Alligator mississippiensis: one gene and its partner. The protein of the gene in region 2 interacts with the protein of the main gene of each other region in a pairwise test. Links are inferred from orthologs where the notes say so. Each region holds a gene or a part of one and is shown on either strand. Other genes may lie near its edges. The genes, in order: PDCL2 and GOLGA1.

What was found.
Region 1: the proteins of GOLGA1 (region 2) and PDCL2 interact in a two-hybrid assay, tested with the Homo sapiens proteins (2 studies listed by BioGRID). The two-hybrid records come from large-scale screens. The link is inferred for Alligator mississippiensis from reciprocal best matches to the Homo sapiens genes GOLGA1 and PDCL2.

The regions. Positions count from the first base shown.
Region 1 is NC_081825.1:60,556,820-60,573,254, forward strand, and holds the start of PDCL2 (phosducin-like protein 2), read right to left. Parts: upstream 9,221-16,435; 5' UTR 9,097-9,220; coding exon 9,091-9,096; intron 8,574-9,090; coding exon 8,453-8,573; intron 7,183-8,452; coding exon 7,092-7,182; intron 5,149-7,091; coding exon 5,005-5,148; intron 1-5,004. Other genes in the region: NMU (neuromedin-U), read right to left, coding at 15,744-15,779. UniProt on the Homo sapiens protein: Essential for male fertility, spermiogenesis and acrosome formation.
Region 2 is NC_081835.1:66,395,716-66,411,981, reverse strand, and holds the start of GOLGA1 (golgin subfamily A member 1), read right to left. Parts: upstream 6,788-16,266; 5' UTR 6,714-6,787; intron 6,641-6,713; exon of another isoform or gene 6,553-6,640; 5' UTR 6,390-6,552; intron 6,266-6,389; 5' UTR 6,085-6,265; coding exon 5,950-6,084; intron 4,157-5,949; coding exon 4,066-4,156; intron 2,616-4,065; coding exon 2,541-2,615; intron 2,048-2,540; coding exon 1,950-2,047; intron 1,356-1,949; coding exon 1,323-1,355; intron 1-1,322. UniProt on the Homo sapiens protein: Involved in vesicular trafficking at the Golgi apparatus level. Involved in endosome-to-Golgi trafficking. Mechanistically, captures transport vesicles arriving from endosomes via the protein TBC1D23.

The DNA of each region.
Region 1 (16,435 bases), on a different chromosome or scaffold from region 2:
GCAAGGGGGAACCTGGACTGATACCCCATCTCAAACAAAAGACATGCCACTTCCTGTTTCTATCTGTCACAAAAGTTGTCCACACAAACCCCAGCCAAACATCTCACAAAGGAAAACCTCATATATTTGTTCTCCCATTCAAGATACATGCTCTTCTGTAAAACATGACAGGAATTCATTTCATAGTTTCTAGGGTCGGAAGGGACCTGAACTGATCATCAAGTCCAGTCCCCTGCCCTGGGCAAGAATGAGTGCTGGGATCATAATACCCCAGCCACATATCTATCCAACCTCCTCTTGAAGACCCCCAAGGTAGGGGAGAGCACCACCTCCCTTGGGAGTCCATTCCAGAGCCTGGCAGCCCTAACTGTAAAGTAATGCCTCTTGATATCAAGCTTGAACCTGCTCTCAATCAATTTGTGGCTGTTATTCCTTGTTATCCCAGGTGGTGCCCAGGGGAACAGAGCTTCACCTATTTTCCACTGGTCCCCCCTGGTGAGTTTATAGATGGCCACCAGATCACTTCTCAGTCTTCTCTTGTGAAGGCTGAATAGATTCAGGCCCTTTAGTTTATCTTTGTAGGGCCTGGCCTGCTGCCCCCGACCATGCGAGTGGCCCTCCTCTGGACCCTCTCAAGGTTAGCCACATCCCTCTTGAAGTGGGGTGCCCAGAACTGGATGCAGTACTCCAACTGCGGCCTGACCAGCACTGCATAGAGGGGAAGGATCACCTCCCTGGACCTGCTTGTGATGCATCTATAGATGCACGACAAGGTGCATTTAGCCTTACTGACCACTTCCTCGCATTGCCGGCTCATGTCCATCCTGGAGTCAACAGTAACTCCAAGATCCCTTTCAGCCACTGTGTTGTTGAGAAGGGTGCTCCCCAGGCTATAGGTATGTTGCAGGTTTCATTGTTGAATGCACCAGTTCCACATCCCAACTACATCTTAACATAACAATGAAGACTTCACTTCCCCACCCCTCACTCCCACTTGTTTAATATATAACACGTTTGTTTAATATATAACACTATGGTTATTTTGTCAGTCATTATTTGAACTAAAAGGCCTTGAGGATGAAGTAGAAACGTCTTCCAAGATTTGACTATTGCTCTGAGTTTCACACATCCATGTTTCCTGCAGCAGACAGAAGTCTTGTGCTTGCAGGTATTCTGTAAGTATACCCTTCCAAATAGCAAATCCTCTGTTACTATAATTTTGAACATGAGGGGATATGCAAAAAACACTTTGAACACATTTTTGGGCTTTTCCCACTATTTCAGGGAGGAGTTATCTAGATGTGCAGAAACTCTTTGGATGATTAGCAAACAAACACCCCAATGGTTCTCTCTAGTCCTCTGCTGCTCTTTCTGGCTAGAGTTCTCTAGGTTAGAGAAATCAGTAGGCAAGGATTTCTTCTCTTCTCCTGCCTATGAACCCATTTCTGCCTAAAAGCATCAGGAAAATTCTTTTGATCTTCTACTCATAGCCTCTTTCAAGCTTCTAGCTTTAGTTTTTCAGTGTGAGAGAGTCAGTAAACTAAATTTCCTATGTTTTCTCAAGTTTCAGCCTTCTTCAGTCCCCCGGCTCTATTTCAGGAAAGTTTTCGCACAAAGCTTGATCCGATGAGATGCCATGCCAGCAAACACATTCGCTGCATCTCTCATCTCCCTGGAGAACATCTGTCCAAACTTCCTAGGACACTTTCTTTAAGAAAGCAGACAACACTCCAGAAAAACCTGCAGCCAAGACTCCCGAGAAGACTCCAGCCAAGAACGCTTCAAAGTCCAGCAAAGTCACCTCGAATAAGACCTTTCAAATCAATATGATTGCTATTTACAATAGGAATACATTAATGTAGCTATATTACTCATCTATAATTGATCGAGTACAAAATTCTGGGGTATTTTTGGTGAAAATAAGGTATCTGGCCTTGGTTCAGGAACCAATCCCCCATTTATAACATTGTTTCTTATGAAAAGATTGGTTCCAAGTTACAACATTTCGACTTACAACACAGCTGGTTCCTGAAAACTGCATCTTAAGTCCAAGGACTGCCTGTACAGAAATGTATCCAGCTGATGTCTGTGGGAACATAAACTAATATTGCCCAGGCTTAGATGCTCTGAAGATGACTTTGGTATGTGCTGTTAGTCAAATGCACATAGCCAAATTCCTGAGAAGAATGAGACATCCCCTCTTTATGACACCTGGTTTTGACTTATCTCAAATAGTAAACCAGATATCCTCTTTAACCTGTTCTGAAGTAGATGCACGGTGGCTTTGATGGGACAGAAGACTGCTCTGATGGACTTCAACCTGTGAACCCACATTATTTAGGATTTCTACATGCTGACTTTCAGACTAAAGATCTAAACAGATGTTATCCTTGGAGCATGCTCAGCTCTTCTGGAATACGTTGCAGCAGAACCGATATGTCTTACTGGATGACTCAGATGTTACCTGTTGCTCTGCAAGATCTAGCTTCTGCCGCTTCCAGGGCTTCAGAATTCCGATCCTGTGAGACCTGCAAATGGGGGAACCTGAGTTGGGGCACAGCAGTGCACTATGCATACATGGGGGATCCCCTGCCAGGGTATTCCCAGGACATACCTCTACAACAGAAGAACATAGGAATACATCCCAAGTCAGGACATGGCAGAATATGGATGCCCAAGAAATCCCCTGCCAGAGATTTCCTGATGCACACTTGTGCAAGCAGAGGAACATCAGGCAGGTGCTCCCAGGGGTCCAGGGGCCTAATCCTGCCTACCCTGGGAATTCCCCTGCAGGGATATTCCTAGGCATGCAGAATCAGGCTCCTGAAGTCCTGGGAGTGCCTGTCTGGGGTGGCTGGAGAGCGTGGGCAATGCAGACACTGACTGGAAGAGGGGGGGGCATAAGGCCCCACAGACTCAGGTAGGCTGGCAGAGGGTCCACAGACCAGACACCCTACTAGGAATCAGAACCAGTGAAAGATTGGGACCCCTCTGTCTGGCCTCTGATGAGCAGGGTGGAACAGAGCACCCAAAGTGTCATTCTGGGACTCTAAGGGATGCCTCCCAAATTTATATTAATTAACAAACATCAAGAGATGGCAGGAAAAGACAGGGCAGTACCCTGCTGGTGACAAGAGTGCGGAACAGGCTTGGGGTGGCCACCAGAGAGTGCCACCTTAGAGATACAGCCCCTTACAAAGGGACCTCCTTTTTGTAGGTTCTGACATGAAGGGTGGGAAAGTAGTGTTACTAATTTGTGTAAGAAATACTTCTGTCACCTAAAAGGAAGCATGTAAGACAAGAGCACAGACCCCAAGGAACCTAAACATTTCTCAAAAATCCTTCCAGGTATTTTTATGGTAGTATGAAAAGTCTTACACCTGAAAGTTGTATTTCTATCTGGTTAACAGATATCTGGTTCTATCTGCTCCTGGAAAGACAAGTTGCTTCCTGGCAACTGAGAGAACTGGAGAAACTGTTCCAATGTCCTTAAAAATGTCCTGTCTCAAAAAAGAGGGTTAAATTTCAAATTCTTCCTCAGCACTGTTTAAATAAGGGGAAAGAGTTGCTAACATATGGAGTTAAACATGAGAGTTCTTTGATCTTACCACTGAACCATCCTGCAACTGCTTCTATCACTGGAAATCTTCTAGAACAGGGGTGGACAAAATACAGCCTGCAAGCTGGATTTGGCCAATGGGTGGATGGCCACCAACTAATTGTATCTGTCCCACGGGTGGCTGGTGCCTCCAGCTGCAGGCAAGACTGTTCTACCCAGCATGAGCTGTGGACCCAGGCAAGGCTTTTGCCACAGCCGGCATGCAGCAGCAGCAGCTGTAGACACTGCGGGTAGGTTCAGAAGCCCGATGTGGAACCTGCCAGCACCATACACAGCTGATGTCACCACCCTTCCGGTACACTGGAAGCTCCTGCCCAGAGCTCCAACCTAGAACCTGAGCACCCAGGCAGGAGCTTCTGCTGTGCCAGGCAGGCAGCAGCATCAGCTGTGTCGGGGCTCCGGAACCTGCTGGCTCTGCCCACAGCTGACACCACAGCCCATCTGGTGCAGCAGCAGCTCCTGCCTGAGTCCACAGCTGATGCTGCTGGCAGGTTCCAGTTTGGGGCTCTGGGCAAGAGCTTCTACCATGCCAGGATGGCAGTGATGTCACCTATAGACGCCACTAGCAGGTTCTGTGTTTGGGCTCCTGAACCTACCAGCAGTGGTGATGTTGGTGCTCGCCTGCTGCAGCAAACTACAGATCCAGCAGGTTCTGGAATAAGGGGAAAGAGGAGGGGGAGAGAGAGAGAGAGATAAGAGAGGGGATACAGAGAGAGACAAAGACAGAGAGAAAGACAAAAGAGGAGACAGAGACAGACAGAGGGAGAGCAGAGGAGAGACAGACAAAAGAGAAAGGGAGAAGAGAGAGAAAGAGAGAGAGAAGAAAGATGAATGTGGCCCTTGACAGGTCCCCAAAACTCATTAAGTGGCCCTCTAGCTGAAATAAATTACCCACCCCAGTTCTGGAATACTTAAATTAGGGAAATCCCAGACCCTTCTTAATATTCATAAAAGATCCTTCTCCTTTTGCAGTGAGACAAGAGGGAGGCAAAATCCTGAAAAATGAGCTCTCAAGGAGCATTGCAAAGGAGCTACTGCTCTATAGCATGGAAAGGGGAGACCTACTTCTCAATATGAACATGTGAAATTCTATCAAGTCTAGCATGGATTCAATTTATATATGAAAAAGGCAAGTGGCCAGAGAGATCGTTTGCATTAGTTCCACATAAGCAGAAAGTGAATACAACCTGTTTACTGTACTAATAGGGAAATATTTTCCAAGATTATTCCTAAATTGGGATATAGGAAACCAGCACCTTTCCACCAGTCTTTTCTGCATGTGTCATTTTTTCTTCTTCTTCATGCTACTTTCAGTACTCTAAATTGAAGTGTCTTAGAGTCTTAAATGAATAAAAGTTTTTTAAAAATATAATCCTAGTCATTACCTTGATCTATATAGATGAATTATAACCCACACATTCTTTGGAGCATTTGTAACTTCTTTAATGTACTGGTCTCCAGAAATTTCTCTCAGCTCCCCATATTTTTGTCTTTTCTGAAGAGATTTCCATTCTTGTAAGCGCTGTTGCCTAATTCAAAAATAAACTCTTTTTAATACAACTTTCAAATTAAATAAAAAGCCCAAATTGTGTTTCTGATTTTAAAAACAAACTTCTTTTTTAATAAAGAAAGCCAGATGTTGATGTTTTACTATTTAGTAACAACTACTGAAAATTTGAATGAAAAATCAGTAGGTGGCAGTCTTCATCTATGAAAATATATGGTGAAATTAAGTTCTATGAAAAAGTACTGAAATAACCCAAACCTTTATTTTAAGCTGGTTTTCTTAAAAAAAAATATAAAAAATTAAACATTCAATGCACAGTATTCTGTATGTACATGTTTATATACCATAATGTGTCAAAATTTAGATGCAGAACTCCCTGTGCTACAATAAGAAAAAAACAGGACTAAAAGGGACCTCCAGATGTCTTCTAGTTCAACACCCTGTTGGATCATTCCTAAATTATTTCAGACAAGTGTTTGCCTAACCTGTACTTTAAAACATGTAAGAATGAAGACAGCATCTCTCCAGGTAATCTATTCCAATGCTTTTCCCCCATGGGCGACTGATGCTGCCTTAGTCAGGGGGGTCATGTGCCCCCCCCCCCCCAATGACCAGTCCCACTGACCAGGAATGGCTGTGGCCACTTCTGGGAATGGCTGCAGCGATCTGCCAGCACTTGCAGGGGGAGCACCAGCGCTCCTGCCTGCCTACCTGTCCATCGCTTAAGTGGTGAGCGCAGCCAGTCAGGGGGTGCACCGGCACTCTCAGTGGATGCACGTGCACCCCCATGCACCCCCTACATGTTGCCACTGATTTCCCTCCTCTGTCTTTTCTTCCCTAGAATAAATAATCCCAATTCTTCTAACCTTTCTTACAAAGAAAGATTATCCAACTGGTGGCCCATGTCTCTGGCCTGGGTTGTGCCCTTTCCATTACTCTCCTGCTGGAGTTTCCAGCCTTCCCCTCCCTCTTCCACCTTTCGCTGCCTGCCCCCATCTCTGGGGGAAGCACAGCATGGCCCACATACCTGAAGGAGGACTCAAGGGACCTGAGGCACCAGGGTAGTGCAAAAGAGCAGGGCAGGTAGGGGGAATTGCATGTCGTGTGCCTGCAGGCCCTAGCCACAAAGAAGTTGTGAAGTCCTGTTATAAATCATGTTTTCAAATCTGAAATCATTTTGTTGCTCTCCTCTGGACTCAGATTTGGACAAATCTTCCTTGAATTGTGCCAAAAACTGGACACAGTACTCCAGGTGAGGTTTCACAAGTACTGAACAAAGTAGAAGAATCACTCCACTTGATTTGCAGATGACACTCTTGTTAACAAACCCCCTGAATGCTACTGGATTATTTTGCAGTTTATAACTCCCACATCCCCTTTTGCAGTAATGCAGTCTGGCTAGTCATTCCCATCTGTGGTGCTGTATGTGATTGTTCCATCTTAAATGTACAACTTTACATAGGGCAGTCATTCCTTTCTTGCACCTGATGTTCCTTTTATTCATTAGCCCAAGAGGCCTAGTTTGAATCTGATGTCTTTCAGATTCCAGGTCCAGGAAGAAGAGGAGTGATAAATGCATATTTTTATGTCCAAATCAGAATATACACATATTATGTCCCCATTTGTTAACGGTCAGAGGGGGAGGGAATCATCCAACCCCCAGAATAACTAAATACATGGAAAGAGTTTGGGTCATAGTGTCATAGTGAATTGGACACTGTTCAAGTTCTATGTCACTGCTACAGGCAATGAAATGGAATTTAGGGAGGATTATGGCTGCTCCACCCTTTAATGTCTTCAAGCAGGAACCTGAGAAGGTACAGGACATATAGGTAGACCCTACACAGATATTAAAAAATTCCAAGTTCACAAGCCCAAGATGCATGCTCACCTACAGTGGGAATCAGATGGATGTACACTTACAAAACAATTTATATTAATATGGCAAGTAATGTCTTAGTATACCTATACTTTTCAACAGCTTTCATATCCTCTTCATCAAACTCATCTTCAGCTTCCTTTAATTCATTTAGAGTCATGCTTTCATATGGTTTCACTTAAAAAAAAAAAATAAAAAAAATTAGTGCTTTTGTTCACTGCAGAAACAGTATTTCAGTATTTTTTCTGTGCAAAATCTTTATATGAAGACACTGAGAGCCATCTCAATGTGAAAAATATTACATCTCATCTAAGAATTTGTTGTTCGACATCAGTGTAACCTGGTGCAAGAAAAAGATGGCAAGTTAAGTATGAGTGGGTGCACCTACATGTGTAATTAGAACGTAGGAATAAACTCCAGCACAGGTCACGCTGGAGTTTATTGGTCTGGGGCACAATATTTACATGTGTGCCCAAGACCGCAGCTTGCTAAGCTGGGGTGAAGCAGCCCTGGCTGACAGGGGACCCAGGGTGTCAGCCTGCCAGTCTGGAGCTCCTCCACCCTGGCACAACATGCTGCAGGGGAGCTGGCTGGGCACAAAGGTGCTTCAGTGTGGGGCTAGCCACCAGGCAGCCCCCACACTGTAGCACCCTCCTGCCCCAGACAGCCCTGGTCACTGTCTACACACGCGTTACGGCGTACTAGGTAACTCTGCCGTAGGATAATACTTGTCCTGGACAGTACTATCCTATAACGGAATTAATTAATTTACTGCACCTCATAAGGATGCTTGTGTAGATGGTGATACCTTAATGTAGAACTAGTCAACTCTGCAGTAAAGTATACATATAGATGCAATCAGTAAATATAAAAAGTACTACTTTGGTCATTTTCATGTGCTCCATTTGTCGCAGGCAATGGCTACATGGTAAATTTACTTCATTAGGCACCAAAGCCTCAAACAGACCATGCAAAGCTAAATGGTTGATTTTTCATGTTATATACCAGGGGTTGTCAACCAGGGGTAGGCACACCTCTGGAGGTACTTGGGAAGCTCCCAGGGGGTACGTGGCAGTGGCGCGGAGAAGCAGAGGGCACTTCCAGTTTTGCTGCTGTGCACAGGAGACCACCCGCCGCTCACTGATTGGACTTCCTACTTCTTGACCGGCTGCAGGGGGTACACCAACCAAAAAAGGTTGAAAACCCCTGTTATATACCATGGTGCATGTTACTGACTCTACTGCAAAATTTATGGTGCTATTATTCTCTCACTTTCTTCAATGCAATATTCTTTTTTAATTCGCTACTTTAAAAATAGCTCACTGAAAAATAACACAAGACCAAATAAAATAACCAAAATACTCCTTTTTAAAAATGAATTTCTGACACGAGATGTGTCAGATCTTTATTACTTTATGAATGGTGTTAAGGGTCAAACAGTACTTGCCTTCTGCTTCTTTCTGTAAGCGCAAAACCATTTCTTCGGTTTCATCTTTCGGCTCAACTTTTAGAGGCAGAATCCCAAAATCTCTTAATATATCATTCCATTCTGTATCTTCGTTGGGATCCTGTTTGGAAATCATGAAACAAAGCAAAAAAACAGACATTTCTATATTGTTTCCAAACAAGAATGGTTTCTTTATTTTTCCACTCTGGTATACAATACCATCCAGGACACAACATGGCACGATGTAACAGAGTGGCTCTTAACTGGACGCTGAGACCCACACAGCGCCTGGGCACGGGCGAGCGCCACCAGATGAACCTGCCCTGGGGCCCCCGTGTGAGGGCAGGCCGGGAAGCAGATGCAGCACGAGCAGAGGCTGCAGCCAGGGCACGAACCCAAGATCCCGGGCACACGTGGGGCAGGTATGACGGACCTGCCCCGTGCACGTCATTCAGCCGCGCACGTCTGCGTGCCTACACGCGTATGCGGAGGGCTGGCCGCTCGCACGCGCCCGTAGTCACGGGCATGCACCCGGGAATCTCCAGCTGGACCTCGGCACTTGCCCACCCGGACTCCTCTCCGCCCTCCCCGCACCCCAGCCCCAGGCCCAGCGGCGCCCCGGCCCCGGCCCCGCTCGCCTGCATGGCGCCGCTCCTGCTCGCAGCAACCGTTGGGCCGCCCCTGCACGGGATCCTAACGGCCGCTGGCCCGGTCGCCGGGCGGATCCATTTGTTAATAAAGGCGGTGGCAGCGTCGTTCTCTCCATAGGACCCCCCTGCGTCAAGGAATGGTTTGCCCCCAAGAGGGCTCCCCTGGCGGCAGCACACGGGGGCGCAGCCATCTCCGCCCCAACACCTAGGGCAGGGCGCTGGCAAGGGCTGCGCCCCTCCGTCACGGGGCTGCTCCAGTAACGTCCTACACCGAAACTGTTCAACAGCTTTTATATCCCCTTCCTCAAACCCATCTTCAGCTTCCTTGAATTCTTTTAGTTTCCTTCCTTCATATGGTTTCACTTAAAAGAACAAACCAAAAAAACGAGTCCTCTTGTTCAGTGCAGAAGCAAAATATTTCAATATATTTTTTTCTGTTCAAAATCTTTGTAGGTAGACACTGAGAGCTGTCTCAATGTGGAAAATGTTAACGTAAGAATGTGTTCAACATTGGTGTAACCTGGTGCCAGAGAAAGATGGGGCGGGGGAAAGGTGCTGAGAGGGGCTCGGCAGGGCAGGTTGCTGTTGGCGACCCACTGCCTACTGCTGGCTGCAATGACCCGGTGAGAGCTGCCAGCACAGCTGTTGTGTCGTGTCCTCAGCAAAATGGGGCTGGGAACCAGCCCTTGCAGGGAGACGTGGGCCTAGCAGATTTATTTGAGCATTTGAATAACGCCCCTGGTAGTGTGAGGCTCACCCCCGCCACACCTTGAGTTCATGACACAATTAATTGGTACAAAAGTAACAGTCACTCCATAAAAATGTCCATCCAGCTATAAAAAGAGCCAAACAGCTACCAAGACAGTGCTTGGCAAATATGTAACAGCTTTATATGTGGTTTCTATCCAGCTAATTTGAATGGGTGGCAGGGACCTAAGAGTGATATGGTAGCCGTGATGGCCCAGGAATTATGTGAGAGGCAAAGAAGTCTTAGGCCAGTGATACTCAACCATTTTTCCTTGGTAGGCCATATAGGCAGTGCCCAGTCCGTCCACGGGTTAGATGTAGGGTGGCCATCGAGGTACTTCAAAAATACTGTCCCCACCACCATGAATGTCGCATGCCTCCCAAAGCTGGGGGTGGGAGCATGGCAAGTTCCCACAGGCAGTGGCGGCGGTGGTGGCAGTGGGGTTGTGGTGACAGCAAGCAGCGAGCTCCCACAGGCATCTGCAATGATGGCGGAGGCGAGGGCAGGCCAAGCAGTGTCGGTTGCGGAGAGAGGGAGGGAAGGGTGTGCCAAGTCGTGAAAAATAGAGGATATCCAGTTTCATATCAATAGAGGACAGACGACCCGCACATTGGACAACGACCTGCACATCACGACGAGGGACATGCTCAGCTGGGATGGGCTTCACCTGTCCCCCAAAGGTAAGCGTGTGTTTTCTTCTAGGTTGGCAGATCCCCTCCGGCGGGCTTTAAACTAGGCTCGTTGGGGGGAGGGGAAGATGAGGGCAGGGAAAGCTGTGGACCACCAAACCATGTGACACCCACAAGGACAGCCCAGCCTGAAGAAAGAGAGCATTAGGAACCTGAAAGCCATGGGGAGACCAGCACTACGGCACAGGTAAGAAACGAGAAGGTAAGAATCAAAGGGCCCGTTGGGACTCGGAGCGGGGGGGCAGCAAAGGCACCAGTCGCAGGGCTCAAGTGCCTATATACTAATGCTAGGAGCATGGGGAACAAGCAGGATGAACTAGCGCTCCTGCTTGCATTAAACACCTATGACTTAGTGGGGCTAACGGAAACCTGGTGGGATTCATCCCATGACTGGGCGGTACATATTGAGGGCTATAGATTGTACAGAAAGGACAGGGTGGGGAAGAAAGGGGGAGGAGTTGCGCTCTATGTCAGTGAGCAATATACATCAACCCTTATCAAGACGGAATCCAAGGATGAGGAAGTAGAAGGATTGTGGGTTAGGCTACATGGGGGGCAAGGAGAAAGGGATTTGGTGGTAGGGGTCTGCTACAGATCCCCACATCAAGGGGAAGAAAGAGATTCGGGGCTCCTGAGGCAACTCTCGGAGACCATAAAAGCTAAAGAGGCGGTAGTCATGGGGGACCTAAACTACCCGGACATCTGCTGAGAGTCACAGACAGCAAAGTCCCACCGCTCACGAAGGTTTCTAACCTGTGTACAGGACCTCCACCTGACTCAGGAGGTACACGGTCCCACTACGAGGAATGCCATACTGGATCTGGTATTGGCAACGGGAGATGACATGGTAGGGGACCTCCAGATGGGTAGCCATCTGGGGGACAGTGATCACCTAATAATAGAATTCACCATAAGACGTCGAGTGGGTAAGGTAACTAGTAGGGTGAAAGTGCTAGACTTTAGGAAAGCTGATTTCAATGAACTCAGGCGATTAGTCAAGGACGCACTGCAGAGTAGGAGATTTGAAGACATGGAAGCCCAAGAAGGGTGGCTGTGCCTTAAGAAAACGATCCTTCGGGCACAAAGCAAGACAATCCCCGAGCGAGGCAAAAAAGGGAAAGGGGCCAGGAGGCTTCCCTGGCTGACCACAGAAATCCAGGGCAGCCTCAGGGACAAAAGGGGAGCACATAAAAAGTGGAAACAGGGAGAGATCACCAAAGATGAATATACCTCCTCTGCTTGTGCTTGTAGGGAGGCAGTTAGACAGGCCAAAGCTACCATGGAGCTGAGGATGGCAACCCAAGTAAAAGACAACAAGAAATATTTTTTTAGATATATAGGGAGTAAAAGGAAGGCCCAGGGAGGAATAGGACCCCTGCTAAATGGGCAGAAACAATTGGTGACGGACAGGGGGGACAAGGCTGAACTCCTCAATGAGTTCTTTGCCTCGGTGTTCCTAAGAGAGGGGCACGACAAGTCTCTCACTGGGGTTGTAGAGAGGCAGCAGCAAGGCGCCAGACTTCCATGCGTAGACCCTGAAATGGTGCAGAGTCATTTGGAAGAACTGGATGCCTTTAAGTCGGCGGGCCCGGATGAGCTCCATCCAAGGGTGCTGAAGGCACTGGCCGACATCATTGCAGAGCCACTGGCGGGAATATTTGAAAGCTTGTGGCGCACGGGCCAAGTCCCAGAGGACTGGAAAAGGGCCAACGTGGTCCCCATTTTCAAAAAGGGGAGGAAGGAGGACCCGGGCAACTATAGACCTGTCAGTCTCACCTCCATCCTTGGCAAAGTCTTTGAAAAAATTATCAAGGCTCACATTTGTGAGAGCCCGGCAGGGCAAATTATGCTGAGGGGAAATCAGCACGGGTTCGTGGCAGGCAGATCGTGCCTGACCAATCTAGTTTCTTTTTATGACCAGGTTACGAAACGCCTGGACACAGGAGGAGGGGTGGATGTCGTATACTTAGACTTCAGGAAGGCCTTCGATACGGTATCCCACCCCATACTGGTGAACAAGTTAAGAGGCTGTGACTTGGATGACTACACAGTCCGGTGGGTGGCGAATTGGCTAGAGGGTTGCACCCAGAGAGTCGTGGTGGATGGATCGGTTTCGACCTGGAAGGATGTGGGCAGTGGGGTCCCGCAGGGCTCAGTCCTTGGACCGATACTCTTTAATGTCTTCATCAGTGACTTGGACGAGGGAGTGAAATGTACTCTGTCCAAGTTTGCAGATGACACAAAGCTATGGGGAGATGTGGACACGCCGGAGGGCAGGGAACAGCTGCAAGCAAATCTGGACAGGTTGGACAAGTGGGCAGAAAACAACAGAATGCAGTTCAACAAGGAGAAATGCAAAGTGCTGCACCTAGGGAGGAAGAATGTCCAGCACACCTACAGCCTAGGGAATGACCTGCTGGGTGGCACGGAAGTGGAAAGGGATCTTGGAGTCCTAGCGGACTCCAAGATGAACATGAGTCGGCAGTGTGACGAAGCCATCAAAAAAGCCAATGGCACTTTATCGTGCATCAGCGGATGCATGACGAATAGGTCCAAGGAGGTGATACTTCCCCTCTATCGGGAGCTGGTCAGACCGCAGTTGGAGTACTGCATGCAATTCTGGGCGCCGCAATTCAAGAGGGATGCGGATAACCTGGAGAGGGTCCAGAGAAGGGCCACTCGTATGGTTAAGGGCCTGCAGACCAAGCCCTATGAGGAGAGACTAGAGAAACTGGATCTTTTCAGCCTCCGCAAGAGAAGGTTGAGAGGCGACCTTGTGGCTGCCTATAAGTTCATCACGGGGGCACAGAAGGGAATTGGTGAGGATTTATTCACCAAGGCGCCCCCGGGGGTTACGAGAAATAATGGCCACAAGCTAGCAGAGAGCAGATTTAGATTGGACATTAGGAGGAACTTCTTCACAGTTCGAGTGGCCAGGGTCTGGAACGGGCTCCCAAGGGAGGTGGTGCTCTCCCCTACCCTGGGGGTCTTCAAGAGGAGGTTAGATGAGCATCTAGCTGGGGTCATCTAGACCCAGCACTCCTTCCTGCTTATGCAGGGGGTCGGACTCGATGATCTATTGAGGTCCCTTCCGACCCTAACATCTATGAATCTATGACCAGAAAACCAGACTGTCCTCTATGAAACCGGATGAATGGCCACCCTAGTCAGATGTGGACAGTGGCCCTGAGCCAGCTGCAAGAAGAGGGTGAGGAGGCAGCCAACCAGATCCAGCCCTGTGGGGGTGAGGGGCCACAACTCAGCCAAATGGGGAAAAGCAGTGGAGAAAAGGGGCACAGCCCAGCCCTGACCTGGCTGTGCTGGGGGAGGGAGAGTTGCAATTTGGCAGTGAGGGAGGGTGGCCACTGCTCTCCTGTTGCCAAATTTCCCAGCCCATGGGGAGCCCTGTGGGACAGATGTGATGGCTCTGCAGACCACATTTGACCCTTGGGGTGGAGGCTGAACACTCCTGTCTTAGAAGAATAGCTTTTATATAGCTTGTACATGTGAGTGTTTGCAGGGACTGATTTTCCTCTTTGACAGATATTAAAAGGTATAAGACCTTCAGTTAAAATGGAATTACTCAAAGTATCAACATATATAAAGAATAAAATGTACAAATATAAGCCTATATTGTTGGTATAAATCTGCACAGAAACTAATAGATTAGGTATAGCATATTATATTACAAAATAATTTAAGTTGTATTTTCTATCAGTACTAAATAATCTAAACATTCAAATGTATTATGTAAAATAGAGAATTCTTCATTAAAATCAACTCTCTACTTAGTGCATATATATATATATATATATATATATATATATATATATATATATATATATAAAATATATAAAACAAAACAACACTAGAAACAAATCATTAATTTTAAGATGCTTTTAATGCAGTCAAGAAATTAAAGAAGCATTTGCAATCTTAACCAAATCTACATTTTGGAACATTTACATTCTAGTGATTTTTGAGAATTGTACAAATAGTAAAGAGTAATTTTTGTGGGGAAATCCATTTTGTCCATATACTCTGTGTTCCCACAGCAGTGATTCTAGGTCAGGAATCAAAAATTCTGAAAGAAAAAAAATGCAAAACGTTAGTTGTTGATATACTTCTGTTATGCCATGCTAAATGTCTATAATGTAACAGCTTTAAAAAAAACACTAAAAAAACATCATTTCACAACAGGGGCAAAGAAAATGTAGTATGTACTTTCCCAAGATTTTTTCTCATGAGCTGGATCATTTGTGGTTCAGTCCTCAAATCCTTAATTTCAGTGTGAATTCTACCTGTGTACAGAAGTCTTTTAATGATTTCTGGATCAAACTTGTAAAGATCACAATTTTTTCTAACATCTTTACCAAATTGACCTTCCGATCCAACATTAAGCTATACACTTCCTGGTTCACACGCTAGAAATGTATTTATTACTAGTGATAAACTAGAAATTTTTATGTGCCAACTTTTTAACTGCTTGAAATGCCTTTGGCTTACCGTATTTTCACGCATATAGCCCATCCACAGATATAAGCCGCATCCACATATAACCCACGGAAAATTTTATTTTTGTAAATTAGTCCGTGTATACACCGCACCCATGTATTCCCCATGGCGGCGTATACACAGGAAGGCGGCGTAGCCTGGCCTGCCCTGGCCCCCGCGGCAGCAGTGGTGCAGCCTGGGCCCAGCGGGGAGGCGGCGCAGCCCGCCCCGGCCCCAGCCTGGCCCCCATGGCAGCAGCAGCAGTGCAGCCCAGGCCCAGCAGGGAGGTGGCGCAGCCTGCCCTGGCCCCAGCCCCCGTGGCAGTGGCGGCGCAACCCAGCCTGCCCCAGCCCCCGCAGCGGCCCCCTTTTGAAAAAAAGTCTGTTCATAGCCCGCACCCCCGTATAGCCCGCACCCATCTGTTTTTTTTGTAAAATCGCATATGCCCAGCAGGGTATATGCGTGAAAATACAGTAATTCTTACAGGTGCTCAGCATCTGCAGCACCCATTGCCTTCAAGTTGATGGGCACGTACCAACAGCTCTGACCCTGATCCCAAAACAGGTTATAGATATCTCAAGTTGGCTATTCAAAAATCTCAGCATCCCAAATTAATGGATACTTTTTTCAAATACGTATCTTGGTTTCACTATAAAAAGGAACAGGATTTGAATATAGGTCTTCATTAAAAATATGAAATATATACCTTTTTAGCGGAAACCTGCTGATCTCCTTCCATTGCGTGGCTAGAAAATAACAATATCTGATAAGAAATTAACACTATAAAACAGACTGGTGTTTAAGTAATGCCCCAGATAATCCAATACCTACTGCATTTTAGATTCCTTGATTTGTCCCATATATTTTACCAGATAACTGCTCAGTTAAAATTAAGATATCTTTGTTAAAGTATTGGACAATGTTTGTCCATTTCTGAAAATCAACTATGCAGCAAAATTACTACTGATAAGTATTACAGGCTGCATTGTGCCAAGTCCTGCATACATCATCAAGGGGAAGAAGATGAAGGCATCTCTTCTACAAGGACTAAACATGCCTCTCAAGGTGTTGTTGGCTTTGACCCTTTAAAACCCTGAATAGCTCAACTTTTATACATCAGGGAGCACACCCAACCTTTGAGCTCATGTATTAGAAAACACTCAGGTCCTAGGACTTGAGTAGAAAATCCACAATTAATTGAAAGGGTCTAGGACAGGGATGGACAATTATTTGGGCCCGAGGGCCAGTTAGGGAGTTTTGGTGAGCTGTCGCAGGCCAGGTTACCCGCTTCCACCCCCAGCCATATAGTTTACCAAAACTCCCTAAGGGGCTCTGCTCCATGTTCTGCTGGGCAGCTGGGACAGGGCCATGGGCAAGCAGGAGGCACAGTCTGGGAACGGGC
Region 2 (16,266 bases):
CCTAGACAAGTATTTCCATTTCTCTCAGCCAAAACCAGCAATTTCCTTCCCCCAGCTAAATGTAAATTTCCTAAGGTGAACTGAAGGTTATTATGGTGCTTAACAGCTCTACTGGCCATTAAGACAGAATACCTCGTTACTAAGTCCCATCAAATCAATACTACATGGAAAGAGTATTATGAGTGGTATAAAGCTCACTCCTTGCAACCAATCCAGCAGATGTAGTAGCAAATGCATAAAACATCCATAGCAGGAACTGGACATCAACATCAGAAAGCAAAGCATAACGGCCAACCCTAGAAGCACATTAAGAAATGGGAAACTTCTATGTGCCACTGTGGAGTCTGTACTAAAGAAGGTTTTGTTTAGATAGTGCCAATGGCATGTCTGGTGCTCACAGACAAATATGAGATGTCTTCTTGGTCTCACACAAGCTTACAGTGTGAAAATATAGGATGCTGTTTTTAAAGTGTAGTATTACTCACTGTCAGAGGGAAAGACCCTTCTTCCTCAGCTCAGGAACATTCTGCCATTATCGCAGTGGTAGATTAAATTACCTCTACACAGGCAGTGTGACACACCACCTAATTTCCAATGTCTGATCAGGCCAGTCTTCATTCTAACTCTAAAAGCAACTTGTTGGAGGCCTTTATGAAATCCACTTGCCCTATGTCCCAGCTGACCCAACTGTAAAACAGACATACTACTGCCCTACCTCCTGGGGCAAGGGTAGGCAACTTTTACCAGCTGCAGGATAGAATGAGCCACTATGGGTCAGAGGCAGGTGAGTACTAGGACCTGGCTACTGCCAGCCCCCATCCCTATGGAAGTGTAGGGAGAGTGCTCCACCAAAGGTCCCCCTCCCTCCACACTGAGTGCTGCCAAAGCCCCATGTCCATGGGCCAGATCTAATGGCTCCACAAGCTGGATCCATCTTGTGGGCTGTAGGCTGCCAACCCATGTCCTAGGGTGTTGTAAGGATTAACTTCTTTGTTCCTGAAAGCAGAATCTAAGCACTCTCTTAATACTCAGCTGATTAAATAGGAACAGTCTGATGCAGTATTTAAATTCACAGGGCTGGCATGCCCAGGCTTTCAAGTCTTGGTCAGTGTCTGAGACCTACGCTTTGTTACTCCCCACTCCAAAACAAATTCTAGGGTTAGCTTCTGAAATGATGGGCTTGGGAATGAAAGTGAATCTCAGGTCTCAGCCAGGGAACAAATATCAGATACTCATAGCAATTACATTTTTTCAGATCTTTTTTGCAGAGTACAAGGAAACACACAGACCCACTTATTACAGTGATATCAAAGGTGACTTACTTGTTCAACTTGAACCAACTTTTCCGTCCATTCCTGTAGGTTGGTGGGGGGAAAAAGGGTGCATCAAAATCCACGAAATGTAGTAACAATGACAACAAAAAGTATCAGAGTCACTGAAAGTATTACATTATGATAAAATATAAAATAAAAATTGTAGGTAAAAATAATCAAGGACGATATAATATACTAGTAAAATGTTATGAAATAATTGACATGACTGCATATCTGCTCTGTGCAAACAAAATTCCTGCACAGTAAATTAATATATTAAAATGGAGTTTTTATCAAAACAGCAAAATGCGAGGTTAAGTTTGTTAGAGATGTCCGTTGGCTTCTTTAAAGCAGCGAGAACAAGGCGTTGCAGAACAAAGACTTATCCCCTGTCAACACTATTTTGGACACTTACACCACATCACACCTCCTCGCTCCATTTACATGAAGAATAAGGCAAGACATTCTCTAGCCTAGACCCACCCGTGTCATGGGTAACAAGTGCTGTCTTTCAGCAGTGATTTTTTCATATCACACTGCCACCTCTGCTCCCTGTTGGCCACAATGATATTGCTTCACTCTTAAGCTTCTCACTATTGGTCAACTACTTCATCATTCCAGACCGGCTTTTATTACCTGGTCCTTTTTTTCCAATGCCAAAGCCATTCCTTCAGCCATCTTAGCTCTGTTGGCCTGGTAAGCCTCATTCTGCTCCTGAAATTTCTTCATGGAGGCTGTCAACAGAAAACCACTAGATGAGAAGTCAGTCACAGCATGCAAAGCTAACACTGTTTATTTGCTTCTGAACTAACTATGTCACAACAGAATTTAGAGACTCATTGTTAAATTGCTTAGGCTCCAGTGGTAACAACTCTTTAGGAATGGAATTGAGCCTTCTTTACGTTATACTGGATCCCCACTGTACTGAGCATACAGAAACAAAATGCAGTAGCAATGTTTCCAATGAACTACAGCAAGTCTACAGGTTTGAGTTTTTTTTAAAGCAATTATTTGCCAGGCACAAGTTTATTATTAAACATCAAATACAATTATGGCTTCTTCATCCAGCATGCATTAAGACAGTCTTATGTTTTTTTCTTTTTTTTTTTTTCCTGTAACTGATATGTGCTCCATTTGTAATGAGATCCATTTCCAACTGTATAGCCTTCAATACAGAACAGTTTTAAATTTAAAGAAAAAAATGGAAGAGAAAATAAGAATACATACAATCCTGATGTTTTTCTAATGCAATTTCAAGCTTCTCTTTTATCTTCTGCAAGTTTCGGACCTGATCAGCATAATCTTGGGCGAGGAAGGAAAAGCACAGACAAGGAATGGACAGACATTAGGGAAGGAAGTAAAATAAAATAAATAAATAATAAAAAAAGGATGAGTGGAAAGTGACAATGATTTTCCCAACTAGAAAATCATTCCTGTTAAGGAAAATTAGGCTGACCTTAACAATAAACACCACAAGCAAATAATGCTACCACACACTATCCATGGGGGAAATGGGTTGTACAAACAGAAGGGCCTAGTTGTGCTAATAACAGGAAAGGGGCACTGGGTATGGTACAAGGAAAGGGGAAGTTGAGAAAAGCAATTTGGTTCGACTCCTGCCTGGGAAGAATCTCTTCTACAAGACAGAATGAAGGAGCATGGGGGAAATTCAAGAAGAGTTCCCTTAATCCACAGAGTCTCCCACCATAGCTGTGTAATAGTTTGGAGGTAGCATTTTGACCAGTGACTAGTTTACCTGGCACGGCTTACAGCACCATATTCATACTTTTAAAACGCAAATCTTTAATAATGTAGAATAAGTAGCAAGTATTTTTTCCCTTTGTTGAGCAAAATTGATGAACAAACCAGATCAAAGGAAGAGCACACCTTGGACTACTCTTATTTAGAAATAAGGTGATGGATCCATTTACTGATCTTGGTGTAAGGCTGAAAGCACCTTGGCCATTTCCACCATCTCTGTCTTTGTGGTACCTGAACCCTTACTTACGCTTTCTGTCTTAATCCAAGGGTACACATTCCAGTTCTGATTGTAACGTAAGCCATCGCTGCACCCTCGTGTACTCCACAAGTAAGGGTGGGAGTACACACCTGAAGCTGCTTTAAACCGTGTTTTGTTTCCCAAAGCCCCTCCGTGAGCCATGGGAAGCAGAGGACAGCAACAGTGTAGTGAATTCCAGCCCTGCTCTGATTCACTCACTATGCAAGGGGCTGGGAGAAGGGTGAGAAAAGAGCACTTCCTCAAGCTCCGCGCTTGCCAGAAAGGCCCTTGGGACAGGGTGGTCTTAAAGGCTCATCCTTGCCTGCTTTAAGATTGCTTTATGCTACACTCTTTATTTTAGTGGTAGCTTCCCAGAGCAGAGACAGTGTTAGAACACCGCACTTTGAAGTCTTGGTTCCAGCTGGAACCCCTGGCTGTTACTGCAATACAGATAGCAAATAAGAAGTGTATGGGAGGAGCTGTCTTGGTTGCGCGTGGGGTGAGAAAGCTATCCCATCCATTCAGGAAGATCACATACGTGGGCCAAGAGCAGCAAGAAGACAAGAAGTCAGTCTGTATTGGTTCTGTACAGATTGTATTTTACAATGCAAGGACGCTGATCAACAGAAAGGTATAAATCAATTCAACAAAGTTATGAAAAGGGGGTTTGCTTTCCAGCTAAGTGAAAACTCTTAATTGCAAGGAACAGTATTTTCCCAAACAAAGTTAATAAGGTATCATCTGAACACATACCAGATAGTTTAGCCTCTAGTTTCCGTATCTGTTCATTTCGTCTAAACAACTGGGATGAGAGATCTTCTCTAGAGCTGCTTCCATCAGAGGCCTTTCCAGATTAGAGACAGAAAATATATATGTAGTATATGTAGTTTACGAGCTTCAGGAAGAATAATCCTACCACTCTCAAATTTTAATGACAGTAAACATTATTAGGACTAAAAATAAACAGTTTCAAATTTCTAGTGAAAAGGAAGATAAATTTACATAACATTACACGCATTTAGTTCTGCCAACTAAATGAATGCATACAACACTTAAGAGAAAAATAGTGTTTAAATAGTCAGCTCTAATTATGTTAGAGATTATTCTGACTTTCAGCAAGTGTCAGTTAGAAAATAAGAGGCACGGCACAGCAAAATGACTGGAAACCAGAAAGTCAAACTACACACCACAGATCCTAGAAAGGAGGAGTCAGTTTAGAAAGAAAAGCAGTAGGAAAAGGGAAACCTAACACTTTTTATCTAAAAACCATAATTAGCAACAGTCACTTAGAAGCATAAAAGACAGGGCTGGAAGGGATCTCAAAGAGTCACTGGGCGCATCTACATGAGAGGTATTGAGCACAGTAGACAAATTCTGCGCATTAGCATGACAGGCAAAACCTGTGCTAATGCACTAACACGCAGCAGAATTAGTCTATGGCATATAAGTTTCACCAAAAAAACCACGCACAGGCAGTAATGTGCAGTGGTGCCAATTATGGCGCATTAAACTTTGGCGCGCTAACAAATGTGTAGACATGCCCACTGAGTCCACATGTCTCAAGACAGGATTAGCCTTGTCTGAACTTTCTGGCAAAAAAGGGTTCATGGCACCAGTTTTACTCCACTGCAGCCCTATTTTTGCTCCTTAGGAAGTCAAAAGAAAAGAAGTTTACGCTGCCAGAGCACGGCATTCCTGAGAAGCGGCTGGTCATATGTTTATAAGTTATCTCCTGCTACACCACCTTTTCTGTTCTTTGTACCTACAATTCGTAGATACCCTGGGCGCTAACTTCACATCATTTACTACATGCAAGTTAGATCTATTTTTTTTTGTAGTTTACCCGAGTACAGGGGAAAAAAATCCGAAACACTCATGCACAGTAAACACCCACTATTCTCAATTCTTATGTGAAAGCAACTGTCAGAAATCAGTTTCCTACTTAGCTTGGCCACATGTTTGAGACTTGGAAAGCTTTTACACCATTTCTCAACAAAAAATATCCCCTTCATCTGGGGAACGAAAGCAAAGAGGAACCCGCTGTCTGCAGCAACACAGCGCACAAAGCCTGCTGGCTCAGGTGATGCTGCCCTGTAACCTAACCCAGGCGGTGGGCGACTGGATAACCTTCAGGAGACCTGACCGTTTCAGCCGGAGCGTTATCAAGTTCTTTTAACCTAAACACACCTGGAAGTACCTTATATATTTATATTGTGATTTCAAAACCGGTAACACGTGCTCATTCTATGCACTTGTTCAAACGCTATTTCCCGTGAAATCGAAGAGGTAAACAGAGAACCTGGTCACTACAAACTTCAGAGTCGACTTGCTTTCTCAAAAGCCTCGTCGTTACAACGACATAGTTATCTTCTGTTCTGCTGCAATATTGTTAGTACCTTCTATCTTAATTGGGCAATGCCCTGTCCTGGAGGTAACTGTGTCATTTATATACTTAATATGTAAAAATTGATTACGTTTCATACACCCTTTCGCTAATCTCCAAAGAAACGTTCAGACTTGATGTTACAGATGTATCCAGATAGGTATTCAAGCCATGCAAGACTAAAACCACAAATGTTGTGCTAGGAACATTACATTAAGAAATAAAATTCTTCTGGAGCAACGTATGTGACTTACAAAATCATCTCCTGAATCTGCTCCCACCGACGTGATGGACTCTTTGCTGACGGATCGAGGAATCCTGGCCGCCCCCCCTGGCCGAGGAGCAATAGCCGCCTCCTCCGCTATCTTCTTCTTCAGTTTTGCAAACATTTTATTGAAGCTGAAGTCCTCGAGCACCCGAGGAAGCGCTGTTTTGCGATGCGGCTACTCCGAATGAAACCGTTAACGCGGTGCGGCTGCTCGGTGAAAAGTTTCCAGAAGTCAAGATTTAGTTTTACGTCCCGTTCGCAAACGCAGGTCTAATCCCGAAGAGTTCACCACCGCGACATGCCTGCAGATTAAAGAGAGATCAAATGTCAGCGCCAAACCCAACAGACTCACACCCATACAGCCCAAAGGGCGTTTTGTCACCTCCATCACGCTCTTATTGTGCTGCCCCCGAAACGCCACGTTACCTACTCAACGGGGCCAAACCGCGAGTCCCTGTTCGTAAGCGGAGGCTCAGCCCAGTCGCCTGTGCCGGATACGTGCGGGCGGTGGCGGGCGAGGCGCGCCGGCTCCTCATCAGAAAGGCATGTTATTGACTTTCCACACGGCTTCCCTTAGCGCTGCTGCAGCCTGCAAATGGGGACGCAACCCGGGTCAGACCCAGGCCTGGCCCCCTCGCAGCCGCCTCAGGCACCGGGAGGCAGGCAGGCCCTTGCCCGGGGGATGGTCTGAGGGCCCCGCTCCCCCCCTCCTCGACTCCTCGTCCCCTTGGCAACGGCCACCGCCCTCACCGTGGGGCCCGCCGGCGACCCGGCCCGCCGCTTCCGGAGCCGGATGTGACGCCGTCAGCTGGAACGAGCCCGACCCGGAAGCACAACGTGGCCGCCGGAAGCGGCGCCCCCAGCGAGGGAGGGGCGCGCGGCGCATGCGCGGACGGCTGCGCCAGGGAGGGGGCGTGGCCGGGCAGCCCCACGTGGGCTGGGGTAGGCGCGTCCTGCTTCTCCCGGGAGAAGGCAGCGGCCTGCGCTATCCCGGGTTAAAGGCCAGGCCAGCGCGTGGGCCGCTCTCCTGGGAAGGCAGCAACCGCGCGTGCCCGGGTCCGTGGGGTCAGGGGCAGGGAAGGCAGCAAAGATGGTTTGGAAAGACGCCGCCAGGACCCCAAACAAGGGCACTGTATTAGCAAGAGGGAGGGATTTACTTCCTCACTTGGCTATTACATCTTGGCAAATCCAACGTATGAAAAGGACTGCTGAGAGAGTCCAAAACACCAAACCAGGACACGCTGCACAAGCTCCGTCCTCGCCTTTGCTGCTTAACTGGGAGCAGCAGCTTAGCCTCAAGGCAGACGGGCCCGGCCGCTGGAGGGCCAAGGCGCCCGGAGGCCATCGCCCCTGGTGCTTGCGAGGGAAACATTCCTCGGCTGCCTTCGGGTCTGCCTTTCCCTGAGCACACAGGCCTCTGCCTCGCTCAAATCTTCCTTCCTGTCTGCAGTCAAGTCGGACTGCTGTTTTACTCTTGGGTTGAGAAAAATACTCCAAGCACAGCAACATCCCTGCTTTCAAGTTCTGGTGCTTGGCCAGAAAAAAAATGACTGCCAAGAAAATCCTGTTCAGTGTCTGCAGCTTGTGCGTGCTCAATGCGGTCAGACCCACCCGAGAAGACACGGCAAAAATGCATCTCTTTGCTAAATGTCAAGTTTCTGATTCAAAGGATGGGGAAGTTCCTGTTCCTCACAGAAACGAAAAATAAAAAAACCTAACAAAATGTATTTTACCTCGCTTTCCTCTCAATCAGCTCAACTGTTTTAGCATAACTTTTAAAGTCACCTCATGGAAAGAGTCATTCCTGATGGAAATTTCATCTTGAATGGGTAAGTCTGGAAAAATATGAACACCCATAAAGAAAGTCCTATTACGTAATCTTCACTAGACAGCTACTACCAGCTCTGCTTATATCATCAGACAACCCTTTTGAAACCCCATGTCCGCAAGGTAGAAAAGGAAACAATCACCAATAGCAAGTCTGACACACAAACAACATTAATACAAACTATAAAGGAAGCAACTGGTACTCTAAAAGCTGGACTATGTACGAGCTGTCGATCAAGATTAACTTCCCTTCCGTTATCAAAAGTACTAGAAAGAACATCATCACCCAGCACCTGGAGTAGCACAGCACCAATGTGTCAATAAGCAGTAGCAAACAATTAAGCAAATATGTTTATTTTATATTGGTAATACACATAATTTATGAGTGGATTTCAGATACAAAAATCATGTACAATAGTTCACAACTGATGAGTGTAGCCACATTCTGGAAGAACATTTATCAATGTGAAATGTCATCAGCACTCCAACAGCAAAAACAAACATTTTCATATTTTTGTCATTCGAAGCAACATAAACATTGTTACAATAGTTCGTTCCCTTGATGCTATGTCAGCTCTGTGCAGAATCACAGTGTTAACTTGGAAACTGTTTAGTGGAGTAAAGTCTTCCCAGCAGCAGCAAGCAAAAGGATGGCGTATAAAGAACCACAATGCATTTGATGGCCATTAGGCATTGAATACCCACCATTATCTTGCTGGGTTACCTTCCATCGAACCCAACATGGTTTCACACAGTGTTGCACTAACTACAACATGAAGTATTAGTATTAGACTCAAAGCTGAGAAGAGAGATTAGATGGAGTGAAACAAATGAGAAAAACATCCATGGTTGAGGTTATGGCTTAAGTAATTTAGATGCATTAAAAGACAGACAACAGCTTATACAGTATTGCACGAGACAGACATAAGATTTCCACATCAACTGTGCGAACCGGTTTTTATGGTGACACATTTCTTGGTAGGTCTTTGCAGAAAGATGTCCTTTTTGACGTACGGTAAAACCAAAGGTGGCCTGAGATTTCCTCAGCGGTAGAAAGGCCGCATACCACACCGGTCAGATCAAGATAGGTTTCTCTTCAGTATATATATATCTATATTTATTTATTTTTTTGTTTTAAAAACTCAAGTCATAACAGACAAACTGGCGACAAGACATGGTTATGTAACAAAGGTAAACAGTGGCTTTGTTGAACCATCACAGAGGTTTGTTACCAAACAGCATCATCACATGCACTATAGACTAGCAGCACTTGGAACAGGATAGGTACATGTAAAACTTGTGCTTCCATCTCTTCAGGAGAGGGCTCCTATTAGAAATACAGCTGTATATTTCCCTACAAATGGCATCACAGTTCAACAACATTTCAGTTACATACAAGCATTTGCCACAGTTTATTAAAAGTCCTTTCATACCACTAAAAAGGCAAGTTATTTATTTATGACCTCCAAATAACACATTAAAAACAAGAATGTTACTTTCTAACAACAATACAAGGCTAGAAAAAGATTTACATAGTTATTAGTCTCTGTGGGGAAGGGTCAGAGACCAGGTGCAGACATGCTTGTTCCACACTTGGCTGATTTCAGGTTTCATTAGGATTGTAAGAAATGGTGAGTAAATGGTTACTCACTAGAATTAAAGGACTCCGTCCAGCTAGGATGTGCTAAGGAGCCCAAATACATCAGAGATCTACATACTTATAGCCCTTCCTGACCTAAAGTTGCTGCTGCTGCCGCCTGATTAAAAGCTTGTCTTATATACCATGTAAACTAGTGGATCAAGCCATTTACGTTGGGTGGCGTAGGCATTCTGGTTGCATGCCATTTTCGTTTACAGAAGCTTAAGTATGCCTTGCACCTTCATTATACAACATACCTTACAACTGGACAACTAAGAATTGAGAACAGCCATAAAAGAGATAACTCCTAAGGTTTTTATACAGCAAAAACAAGAGAAAAATCTGGAGAGCTAGTGGTTCGTTAACGGCCAGCTGACAGAAGCAAAAGCATACTAGAAATCTGCTTGCAAAATGGCACAGATGAAGGCTTAAAACCGATCATGGATGCAGTAAGCAGGCCTGCATACTACTTAATTCTAATTACTAATAAGAATCATGGTGGAAACTAACATTATTAAATTCTCACTTTAATCTTAGCTCTTTTTTATTCCTGAAATGTTCAGTGGTAACACAAAAAACATACTCCTTTCCTCCCAAGGACACCAAAATTGCAGAATATTTTCTGGCAATTACACAGTTTTGGTGATTTACAGATGCCTTGAAGAAAAGTCCATTTGCTTCAAAAAGTTCATCTATATATCTCTCTATATCTTAAGTAAAATATCTGTTTTTACCAAAATATGATATACAGGCACATGGCTGTAAAATAACTTTAAACCAATTCAATATAAAATTATTTTTGGTGATAAATAATCAGATTTCCAAACAGAGGCAGAAAGCTCCCCTTTCCTCCAAGGATGGGCTGCCAGAGGCACAGATCCTCTTTCTGGGTTTCTTAGATTTTGCCTTCTTCCAGCCCCATCTCTTCCGCTTATTACTTGGGGAGCCTAGGGGAGGGGCAGGAGAAGGTAGAGGCACATTTGTGCTTTTGTGTGTAATAGGCAGTGCCCTGCTCCTGGAGAGGGGAGGGGGGGGGGAGAAAAAAGAATTTCACCATGTTCACTGAGAAGTGGTAATGAAAGAGGCTGGAAGAAATCTGCAAAGCAGATAGGGTCCCTTCTTTTTGTAAGGAAATATTAGGGGAGCAGGTAACATGGTCTGAACAGGAAATTCAAAACAGCCTTTCTGCAGTTTCATCTTGTACGGAAGGTTTCATTAGCCCTGCAGGAATATGTGCAGGGGAACAACCTAATTAGATCTGAAAACTGTTTCAGTGCCTTACTTGAACAAAGAGTAGCATAGGAAGTCAGCTGCTCAAGTCTCAAAGCACGAAGTGAAGCAGGAATATCTGAGTAAAAGCACTTACGCATCTGGGCAACTGAGTTCGCAATAAGAATAAGTCAAGAAGGAGAGGAGAGATTTATTCCTTCACTCTTCTGAAACACCATTTAGAAATTCAGAAGTCTTCAGCAGGTTCTCTCAGCAACTGGGAAGAGAAGTGGCTTGGAGAAAAAGAAATAGCTAAAAGGAAGGCAGGGTCTTCTCTGGAGAAAAGAGCTGAACAGTGATGGCAACCGGCTTATCCTAAAAGCAAGCAAAAGTCAATCTAAAGATATACTTTTCACAGTTCCCTCTCACATTCAAACATCCAATACCCAAAGCCCCTGCACTAGATCTTCATAGATGGATCTAATGTTCCTCTACAAAGTTATTCAGAAATGTGGGTGATCTTCGTTACTTGCATGATTCCCACTTGGGGTATTTCTTTCCCAATCTGCCATAGAAGCATCCTTATCCACAGATTGGCAGTGCTCCAGTCCAGGTACAGCTCTTAGCCATCTACACACCTTTCCCCATCAGATTGCCAGTATTTTTCATACGAGTGCAGCTTCCCTTGACACAACAACTCAAGGAGCTGTTGTATCAAAAGCTATTGATCAACCAGTATTTAGAACAACTATGTTGCCTAGTCCTGCCTGTTCTGCATTAAAGCTCTGACCATTGCTACCAGCAGTGAGGTGTGATGCTGAGAAAGATTATTAGAGTCTAGTGAATGTTTGTAAGAGAAGCCTTAAAAAGAGAACAGCTATTTCAGAAAGGTTATTTTCAGGAAGGAGCTGACTTCAAAAGATGGTAGATTTGGACTGTTTTCTCCCTCAAAATAAAGAGCTCTGGATTCTTCATCTTTCAGATGACATTTTAGGATTACAACATTCATAGATTAATATCCAAATTTGATAGCCATTCAACTATTTCAGGGGTGGCTGCATGGATTGATTTTAGACTGCCATTAAATGATCTAATTGGGCAATCGTTCACCATGTGTTGCACCATCTGAAAAAAAAATCACACCACAATTGCAACCCGGACTCTCTTTGATTCTCCATTTATGGAGTAGGATTCAAATACAGGCTTTCTTCTCATCTTTACAAAGGCAGTTTTAACAGAGTTTATAATTGTAAGAGCTCCAAAGATGAATAGGTGTGTTCCTCTGAATCCTAAATCCCCATACTCTCATACTTTCTTTGACACTTGGAGAGGTCCTGGTACACTCTCTCTCTCTCTAAGAATTTCTTTGCATGCTTAGCTGAGAAAGTGGCTGCTATCTACTGAAGATTATTATTCCAAAGTCTATCAGGCCAAAGTTTCGAGACTTGCTCAGCATTCATTCCAGCCTAGCTTGTCCAATTGTCACACGTCCCCGATTCTGATGGAACAGAGCATTAGTATCTGCTGCACAAGAAACCCTTTTTATCCAGAGTGTGGTTAGTAAGTACAACCAAAGGAAGATCCACAGCTCTATTTTTCATTGTTAATCTGAGATGCCAAGGGAAAGAAGAGCAGTAAGTGTTAACCTTGGCCAGATGGTTTAAAGCTTAAATGGTACAGGAGTACAGGGCAAGAGAGATGCCACAAATGGCAGTAAAGGTTTATTTGATCAGGCCTGCTATATTACCATGAGCGGAAGGCAGGACCTATGGCAGAAGTCTGCCAAGCAGGCACTTAGTCAGGTTTGCATATTTCCCCGTCCCTCATGAACTTGACCTACCTATTGGTTTTAATTCAAGTCGCCTCTACTGTTGTAAGGAAGACACCCATTTCTGGGTGCCTGACACTGAATACCCATTTGTATCTGAAAATAGGGGCTCCACTCCCCCTCCAGATCTATCTATCACTGCTATCCACTTCTAAACTGAGGATTGCTGAATATGAAACCAATGGAGAAACACTTTTCTGATAAGTACAAACCTGCTGTGTATGCAGAGAACGGTATCTACAGACATATACATATGCATATAGTACATACACATGTTGATGATGACTTAGTACAAAGTGGAAAAAGAATTCTAATCCTCTGGTCTTGAATACTGCTGATTTTGTTGGAAAAAATGAGAGATCCCTTGTGATCTTCTCTATAGCAGATATGGGGTATTATTTTATGTATTTATCTTTTTACAAATACAATCCTCAGAGAGAAAAAAGAAGTGAAGCTCATGTCTTGAAATTCCCTGTTTTCAAGTTTCATTAACAGCAAATATTCTGAACAAAGTAATCATATGACAGAATAGTCAGGAAGAGAACAAGGTCTTCTTTACAAGCACATTACTGATTTTCTGGATTCAGTCAGTGCTACTAACATGTTTGGATCTTGATCCAACCTCCAAGTTCTCTTGTTTTCTTCACAAGCCTCTTCTACCACTTTTGTATGGGTGCTGCCATCTGGCCAGACCCATAACAGACTCCAGCTAAATGGGGCAATAAGACCAACTATATCACACTGTTTGACAGTACAGAGATAGGCTTAGGAATCGGAGAAATGCACCATATGCAAACTCTACCTTTCATCCTGGCTGAGCAGGATACAAGTTTGTCCTGCCAAGGCTTCTCCAGTCAGCTTCCAAGACATTCCACATGAGTTCACAAGGACACAAATGGGGCATTCCCCAAGGTCCAGAAGAGCATGCTTTTCTCAGATACAAGGAAATGAGCTGGACAAGAGCGAGATTCTCCCCCCAGTTAACTTACAAACATAAGGGACAGGGCAGCATGGATACTGCTCTTCATTGTCCTGTGACTATGAAGATCTTCCTACTCCTAGTTTCCCTAGCATATGTCCCAGGACAAAGCATGCTCCATGAAAGTCATAATGAAAGAAATAACAGCGTTAACTGTTAAACCATCCTGAGCTGTAGCAATTGGGACCTCCTGCACTTTGAGGAGGGTAGATTATCACTGCAGCAAGAAATATGGGTTCATTTCACAATGTTACTGTCCCCTCAATGAAAACTGGAATATTTGAATTTATAAAAGAAAAGCCCCTGATGACTAGATGAGGCCTCCTATACCTAGTTTCAGCCGCAAACAATTTCACAGAACCAAATATGAGCCCCTGAAAATAGAGGATTACCATGGGAATACAGCCACAACCTTAACTACAGCATCCTGAATGATGCTTCTAGAACACCCTCCTGGAATGCATCCCGATTGGCGTCTGTGTGTATATATATTTTTTGTATATACAACTCGTATTATCTCATATCTCCCTATATACAAATATTTACACCCACATACATATTTACAAGCACACCCAACCAGTGGGTGCGTGCGTCCTGTACATACACACACAAACGCCTTGTATATACACAGTCATTAAAATAATCTCATCTCAGCTAAAGACGGGTGGGTGACCAGAGAACCACAATCCTAGAGAAGAGAACTGCAGACCAAGCAGAGGCAGCCCGATCACCACTCACAATCTGCTCATAGGAAGAAACATTTTTGTTCCTAGTATTCACCTGAACTTTTGGTACTCAGACATGAAGGACTGATGGCACTGGCCAGGGCCCAAGACAGTGCAAGCAAAGGTGGCGCAAGCTTCCTGGCTGTTCTGCACTGTACTCCTCCCCGAGCCCCAAGCCAGAAGGAGACCAATCCCAGCCTGCAACACTCTCCACCCTTTATAGTCCAGCCTCTCTTGAACAGAAGGTCACAACATTGTGCAACAGTCCTGTGATAAGGCCCACTGGGGTTGGCATCAAATTAATGCAGCTACTCTTCATTTAAAAACTGCAATATCTGACTGGACTCCTGAGTCATGGGGCTGATTAAATTCCTTCCCCACCCTTTTCATTGTTCCAATATCAGAAAGGAACACAGACCAAAATCTTTCCCTAATGGCTTGGAACGCTCCATGTTGCTAACTCATACGGTCATGATCCGCTGTGCTTGCTCTACTGCGGTTTAATTAATACGGTACTTGGAACACCCTAATGGACTTAATTCAGACAGCAGAGCCATGCACAATAACAAAAGCTAGAAGGCAGCCTTTCCAATACCAGCCAGATTTTACCCATACAGAAGCAGCATGACTTCAGTTTGATTTGCTAATATTATTCCAGATTTGTCAATTCAGTCCATTTGAAAAACTATTTTGTAATTTTTGATATATAAATTATGCTTCTTTTCTACAAAGACAACCCTGCCCTGGATTTAAAAGCATGAATACCTTCTGGGCAGCATCAATATTCTCAGAAAGTACACTTCACTTTTTAAATATTTTTATAAAAGCCAAACATTGAAACAATGGTATCTGCTAGCCTTTAGCTTCGTTTTGGGAAGAGTTGTATTACCTGCTGTTGCTAACTCAAGTGAAGACTGTCTGAAATCTGGGGTGTCAATAATCATTAGGCTGGACGTATGAAACATTTACTTCAAAGCTCCTCAGCGCTCTCTCCTCTCTGCTCCAGGCTGCCTCTCTGTCAGCAAGTGCAAGAGCTCCTGCAGCCACTGTGCAACTCCAGAGGCATTTGTCCAGCCAGCAACAAACTCCCGCTTTCCCAGCAAACACATTCACACAGATCATAACCATTCTTCACTGTACCCAAAATGGAGACTTCATGAGACTCTGCTGAGAGATGTTACGTCCAAACAAAAATATCCAATTAAAAGGGTCCCAACTGAGGCTGGAGAACCTATAAACCAAGCCCTGCTAGCTGTTATCATGTACCTCTCACTCCTCAGCCAGTCTGCCCTTTCAAGAGCATCTCCAGACCAGGGAAGTGGGGGAGCATGATGGAGGAATCGGTATTTGCTACATGTAGGACAGCAGTGCTTTGTAACAGAACTTACTTTTGTTAACCATAACAACAACAACAACCAAACGAAACAAAACAGGTCTTCTGGGGTCAAAAAGATGCATGAAAAAATCATCTCATGGTTACAAGTAGGTAACTGCACCAGTTCTGTGAGGCTTCTGGCCAAGTGTTTCTTGGGGAGGGCTGGTACTCAGTACTGCTATGGGACACTTTCAATTCCCAGGCACCGGAAATGCTGTTCCCGTTAGCTTCTTCATTCACGTGAGGAAAGGACGGGGAATCCTGGCGATTTCAGAAGAGATACCAATAAGCAAAAAAGGAGAAACACACTGTCCTCCCATGACAGAAAAGTGGTGGGCTCCGACCTCAGGCATGGTGGGGAGAGGGGGAAGGGCCAGCTTTATTTAATGCACACCAGCCTGCTATCCCACACCCAAAGCAGGCAGAATGGGATATGCATCCCTGGCCAGCAGTGCTGTGCAGTGCAAGATTTAAATGACAAATTTACAAGGAACACTAGATTGCAGGGGAGTCCTTGACAGCTCTACTTCAACCCTGCTGCTCCAACTGCATTCTAAGATTTCTGTCCAATTATTCACCTAAGAATGAAAAATATATATTTATTACGAAGGACTCTTATTGCTATTGTTGGTTTGCGCTGTATGGTTCAAACTTTATCATTTCAAATCCAAACTCTTTGGGGATAAAATATCGTTTTTTTCCCTATTTTTTTCCCTTTCCA